2 linked regions of the Coturnix japonica genome follow. The protein of the gene in region 2 interacts with the protein of the main gene of each other region in a biochemical or structural test. Links are inferred from orthologs where the notes say so. Each region holds a gene or a part of one and is shown on either strand. Other genes may lie near its edges. The genes, in order: GRB10 and INSR.

The links.
Region 1: the proteins of INSR (region 2) and GRB10 form a complex in vitro, tested with the Homo sapiens proteins (5 studies listed by BioGRID and IntAct). The link is inferred for Coturnix japonica from reciprocal best matches to the Homo sapiens genes INSR and GRB10.

The regions. Positions count from the first base shown.
Region 1 is NC_029517.1:49,909,269-49,912,379, reverse strand, and holds part of GRB10 (growth factor receptor-bound protein 10), read right to left. Parts: intron 2,040-3,111; coding exon 1,946-2,039; intron 1,163-1,945; coding exon 1,016-1,162; 3' UTR 1-1,015.
Region 2 is NC_029543.1:3,176,876-3,180,699, forward strand, and holds part of INSR (insulin receptor), read right to left. Parts: intron 2,814-3,824; coding exon 2,687-2,813; intron 2,054-2,686; coding exon 1,803-2,053; intron 1,493-1,802; coding exon 1,325-1,492; intron 642-1,324; coding exon 440-641; intron 1-439. UniProt on the Homo sapiens protein: Receptor tyrosine kinase which mediates the pleiotropic actions of insulin.

The sequences.
Region 1 (3,111 bases), on a different chromosome or scaffold from region 2:
GCTAAAAACACTGTTGTTTCTTTTTTGTTGTTGCTATTTGTTTGCTTTTGTTTTCTCTAACTAAGACTACCTGTAGAAGAATCTTCTCACAAAAAAAACAAAGGGTGGTTTCAGATACAACTGTCATTCAGTCCTACTCTGTTTAGTAACAGTAGGTTTCCTCAGGAAAACAGTCAAAAGGCTGTAAAAAACAAACCACTTCAATAATAAAAGTTTGTGCATAGAATCTAATACAGTCTTCGCATGACTGGATGCCACTAATATGCCACAACATACTACAGCCATAATGCTACAAGTCAACAGTTTTGAGAGTACACACATGGTGGTATGTTCTGTTAGAATTGTATCCTCATTGCTTCTTCAAAGACTTCTGCAGATCACGGAACCTCAGGTCTCCAGAGAAGTTTTGAGATGCACACACGCACACACACACATACAGACACATGACACGCACACTTCTTGATTTTCTTCTAGATCCGTTTAGGCTGAAGCATTCCATACATTTTAGGGTGCAGATTAATACCCAACTCCTGCATGAATTTTAAAAGCCACATCAGCTCCTAATATAGGCTGCATACAATATCCAAAACAAAGTAGGAGTGCAAAAAAAGTGATCAATACAAAAAGTAAACACACTAGTCTTAATTGTCAAGATTATTCCAGGGCAAGAGTTCTTTTCAAAGATTTATCTTCACACTTGTTCCTGTTAAGTGGCCCAGCCAAGATAGTTTCCAGTTTTGTTTCAAATTTACTAATAGTTTTACGAACCCTCCCCCACCCCACCCCCATTTTTTGGGATGCTGGGACACTCAGCAGCAATCACTCTTAGGTGTTAGACAAACCAGTAATGTCGGTCTGTTGGCACCTGTTGAATCCATCCCTTTCAGAGTCCCAAGGTGCATAATATTTTTATTTATTTTTACCAACTTACAAATCTGCCAATTCCCCAGTATCAACGTTCTCTTACAATTACTCTTCTAGCAAATCCAGTCTTCAGTGAGAGTCAAATTTGAGGTCATAAGGCCACTCGGATGCAGTGGTGTTTGAGTTTGCAGGGCAAGACTCCTTTGTTTAGTTGATAGAATTCAACAAGCTGGATTAGATCACTGAATTTGGTGTTCCCATCATCCAGGCTGAAAAATATCTGTCCATCATCCTCGCACTGGGGAAATAAAACGTCCTTTTCAAGTTAGCACGTGGGAAGACGTGAATGTTGCAAACACAGGACAAGTAAAAGTGTGTGATGTGACATAAAATGACAGGCACTGCACAGAAAACCCGGTATCTAGAGTTCTGCCTGAAAGCAGGCACAGTGCTAGAGGAGAATTTTTGTTGAGCCAACTGGAAATCTTTTCTGCACAAAAGTGAAAGCTGGTAGGCAGAGTAATTCTAAGTTGTAGAGACAGCACTGGTTTCTCTTACATAAAGCAAAAATACCACAAAAATAATTGATGGCTGTTTCCAAAGTTAGCAAGACAAAATGAGAGGGTTTGGGCCAATAAGCAGGTCTACAAGATCTTAAACTTTTGCTGCTCTTTCTGGCCAAGATAAAATCAAGTAGTTCTCACTGCCTCAGTATAAGATTTTTTTGAGCTCAACAATATGGGATAAAATTTCAGATAAACTTTTTAAAACCTCCTGTAACTTCTTCTAAGTTTGCTGAAGTGGTACGGAGACAAGTGCGGCTGTTGCTGCCAGTCAAGTACAAGTTATGTTGCATTACTGTTATACCTCAGTGGTTTAAATTAGTTTTCCAGGTAATGTTAAGACAGAATTTTATTCAGAATTTTGACAATTCTAAAGAATTGTATTTCCTAATGGAAACATGCCTGTTCATGCCATTAGTAGGTAAAATGAGGCCTCTCTGGATGATGACAATGCTGTCAGTTTACAATTTATTCTATTTTTATTATCAGTTTTGAAAAGAAAAAAAAAAGTTACTTACCGGCAAGATTTGAAAATGCTTTATTTTTTGATGATGGCAAAGTGTAAGTACAAATGCCTTTGGATTGCTTTGGCTGTCCCGGAGAAGAAATAGCCTAGAAGAGAACATTTTTAAGCACACAGTAAATACAACAATCCATTTCCATGTAAATAATCAGAAGTACTAAGTAATTTTGTACTATTGTTTAACTCTTCTTCAGTTGCTTTAACCGGCAATTTGCTCTTCGTTTTTATACCAGGCTTATGCAAGACTAACAGAAGAAGAGAAAGTGAAAAATGCATGTCATCATTTCTTCCCCAATTTATGTTCTTCCCCTTTTGCGGGCTGCCTCAAAAGTAATGCCTCTTACTTTATGAAGTTGGCCCATGATGTCAGAGGCAGATGTTGGTGGTATGGCAGTAAAGGTTGAACCTTCCCACCAATATTTCATTACATTTTGTTGCCATGTGACAGATGGCAGCAGAGGGGAAGCCTGACAGAATGGCATCTGACATGGAAGTGTGGATGAAGCCAAGTGATGAAGTCACTGAATTCCTCCATGCAAAAGAAACTGTACCCACTGACATTCACTGACACTTGCAGAACATTTATGGAGATAAAACAGTGGATGTGAGCACAGTGAGGCAGTGACCGGTGCGTTTCAGCAGTGGCAGCAGTCACGTGAAAGATAAGCTGCACAAATCTCCAGAATATAATCACAGAACTGTGTATGGAGCTGAATATAGGCTTCAATACGTTGGAAACAATGGTGGGAACACTGGAATATTGCAAAGTTTATACCAAGAAGGCCCCAAAAAACTCAAATACTGAGGCAGAAAGAACACCGTGTGCAAGATTGTCAGGATACTGAACCAATACGAGGCTGAAGGTGTCAGCCTTGACACCTGATGAACGGTGTGTGCAACAACACTATCACAGCAGCTGTGAAACTGTGGGTCGCTTCCACTGACACAGATTTTTACGTGTGCAGCATCCATGCTCTTGTTCATCACTAGCAAAAATGGTTAGCTAATGGTGGTGCTTTGTAGCTGAGAATTTGCTCTATCAAATAGTTTTTATTGTGTATCGGTACTTTTTTCCACAGAAATAAATAAAAACCATTACTTTTTGAGCAACCCATGTAGGAGGCATTACTTTCAGAGTGACCTACGTATGCATGAAGCTTT
Region 2 (3,824 bases):
GCTCCCTTTTTGAGTTGCATATGAAGTGTGAAGACATTCAACACCACTTAATGTGACACCGTGTGTGCCACTCAAAACAGGACATTTACCACCCACAGCAGTTGCATTCCTCGTGGTATTGGAGGTATTTCCCACACTAAGCGTGAGGAAGACCGCAAATACCACACTGAAGGACAAGGCTGTGGCGTGGAAAACTTCACCTTTCTTTTCAACGGGATGAAAAGTGAGACCACAACATTTTAAGAGCAAAAAAAAAGGCTATTTCTGGCATCACACAAGTTAGAGCCAGCTACAGGGCTTTAGATATTTGTGGAGGATTCTCCCCTTAATCTCAAGCTGAGGAGAATTGAGAGACAGGAAACAGGGTGGGATCTTCCACATCCCAACAACAACAGGAGCAGAGCTCAGCTCCCAGCCCACACCACGCAGCTGCTCGTACCTGGGGACGAAAACCTCATTGTGAAGGTAGTTCTCAAAGGTCTTGCGGAAAGCAGACTCCTCCAGCTCCTTCTGGATCTGAGAGTCAGTTTTAGGACAGGAACAACATTCTCCGCTGACATCCTCACTTTCGCTTTGGTTATACTTCTGAGGGTCTTCAGATTCAAAAGGAGGAGACCACGTCCTTGAGGGCAGTTTTAATCCTAAGGACAAAACAATTTTACTATCGTTCATGCTTGGCATACCAGAAGTAGATGTTTGATCCTACCAAGATCCAAAACGAGCGTACACAAAATTCATGGCACATTCTGCCTCCCACACTTTCATATCTAGGGTCACATTCCCTCTCTTATGACAGGGCTCTGATTCAGATCTGTGCTAACTCTGAAATGAAGCTCAGATGTCACTGTTGCCAGAGTTCTACCCCTGTTCCCTTCAGTTTGGGAACACGGGGTGGCAGATTCTGGGAGTTCTCAGTGGAATTATGAATCCTAAAAGCATTCCAAACCCCACAGCACAAAATGCCTTCAAAAACTAACTTGGCCACTGATCCCCAGAAGTACTGCAATGTTTTACTCTGCTTTTCCACAGCCGTTATTAAACTTGAAGCTCAGTTTAAAAAGAACAAGTGCAGAAGGGAGATTCAAAAAATACATATTTGATTACTTTGTGCCAAAAGGGTTTTGAAGATCTTTTGCACATGACTTAGCAATAGTGACTAATGTAAATGCAACTGAATAGGATAACACAACTGTGTCTCAAACTCTTTCTTGAACAACAGCACCGGAGCATCTCCAAAGTGCATGAAAAATCCCCATAAATGCTGAGAGAGCTCCACCATCTGGAAGGCCTGAAAGAAGGGCACAGAGAGAGAACTGGAACTCACCCTTTAAGCAGTAATCAAGTTCATAAAGCTCACTGTCTTCCGCCTGCTGCTGCCAGAACACCAGGTAGTGTGTGATGTTGCCATTGGGCTCCGAGGGCGGCTTCCACTTCAGGATGATTTGGGATGAAGAGTTGGAAACAGAAATTGGATCTAATGGGACTGACGGAACTGTGTGGGTGGAAAAGGGACAGAGGTCACTTCCACAGCTCTGTGACAGCTCCACAAGTGAGTTCCCTTTCCCACGAACAAAGGCAGGACACATGGGCTCTCATCCACGGCCACGTGAACCTGAGGGAACAGGAGCACAACGGTGCTCCCTCCTCGCTCAGGGAAACACACATCATTCCATTTCTTTAGGAACACCTTCCCACAAAGGGAGAGCAACACCAGCAGAGTTCCACAGACATGGCCCTACTGTGACTACCCACCAGAAGTCAGCTTTTCATTCACAGTGCAACATTAAGCCAATGAAACTGACCTGTAGCGTTGGTCTGGACGTAGATGATCTCACTCTTTGCGCCGTATGTCCTTCGTTCATCTGAGAAGGTGACCAGAGTTTTAACAAACACAGCATACTGTGTCCATGGCTTCAGGCCCCGCAGCAGCCAACCTGGCTGGGCCTGGGCTTTGGGCTCGTTGGACCGCGGCGGTGGGTCCACATCCACGACCGTCCAGCTGTTGGAGCCACAGGCATCCTGCCCATCAAACTCCGTCACGTTTTGGTATGGACTTAAAAACAAACAAAAATAAGCCTCAAGTTAACAGAATCCTGACACCGAGCTTTTGGAGACATGGTGTCTGAAGGCATCCCTCACCCTCACATAAATTCTAATGATCTCATCCTGCATATCCTGTGTATTCTAGAAATAAAGCTTAGGGAGCTTTGTAACCCAGTCTCCTACCAGCACCACACATCAGGTACAGCTCCACACACAACCCAACCTCAATCTCAGCTAATTATTTTCAGCTGTGTGAAAACCAGTTTGGCAAAACCGACTTTTAAAAGTGTTTCCCATGTAAAGGGGAATAAATAACTCTGGAGACAGTGGGGAGATGGTTGGGATCTGTACACCTGGAGCAGCTGGAACAACTGATGTTGGGGTTGCTCTTAAATGAGGGATTTTGACTTTATACAACTCACTTAAGCCAGGGAATGTAATTAATACTTATATAAAGGGCAACATTGGAAACTTAAGTGTGGTCTCTGATTGTCTGACTCCTAATTAGCTACGACCACAGCAGTCTTAATGTCTACTCTTCAATGCCAAATGTCATTTGTGGAAGCCCAGCATTGGCTGGGCTGTTGTTTTGTAGCCCAACCATTGGTTGCTCAAGTTCCCCTCTCCCTGAGCTGCCACTTACGCCTCTTTGTAAAAGAGCATAAATCCCAGGAGGTCACGGAAATCAGGAGGCCAATACGGCTCCCACTTCAACAGGATCTTGTCATGGGATGTTCTAATGGAAGAGAACTTCAGCAATTCGTTTTCACCTACAACAAAACAGAAATGATGATCGTTTTGTTAACGCTGAGAGAAAGTTTTCTATTTTTCAGTACTGCAGAACTTTCTGTCCTCTGGGGAAAAATATGAGAACCTTGATATTGAGAACTGCTCATTAAAAACTTATCTTACGTCGATGCTATCCCTGCCCTAAGCCAGGGGTTGGAACAGATGACCTCCTGAGGTTCCTGCCAGCTTACATTTTTCTACAACTCTATGAAAATAATCCTATAAAAGCTGAACTGAGTTTTACTGAGTGTGAAATCTAAAGGCAACATGCTTTAAAATTCACGACAAGATAAACACAGAGACCCGGTAATGGGGTCTGCATCCATTCTGTAGGCACCGCCTCGCCCAGGGGCAGCACGCTCCCTTTGCAAACAGCAGCTCAGGACAACAAACAGTTGCAGGAGGGGTGGAGCATTGATTCTCAAGGGAAGCATTACCATACGGAATGTCCAAGCAGCCCAAGGACAAACTGCACAGCCCTGATGGGATTTGCCACTCCTGCAGTAGCTGCACACGGGGTGAAGAACATTCACTTTGCTGTCCACACATCCAGCACAAACAAGGTGTTGTGTCTGGGAGTTGGTTGTGTGTGTGTTTTTTTTTTGTAAACAGGATGCTGCCAATGTGAAAACTAAAGTTGAACCATAAAATCATAAAGCCAAACACACCAGCAACGTGTGGTCTGAGGTGGAGGGTGGCACGGAGAGCAGCACAGCAAGGCAGGGTTAAAGCTGGCATGGAGAAATGCGACCCTGTGGTCCAGCTGCCTTCAGCACAAAGCAACCAGCCAGCCTGGGAGCTGCAATGCCACAGGAGAGCTGGACCTGAACCCCAAATCCAGCCTCATCCCGAATGTGGGAAGGCCTCGCCGCTGTCTCAAGGGAGGAGATGACCTTTTCAGACAGCTCACTCCTTGTGCTGCCTTCACTCTGCCCAAGCAGAGCTGCGATAGCCCCGAGGCTGCGGCTCAATGCGTGTTTTCACATTTTAGG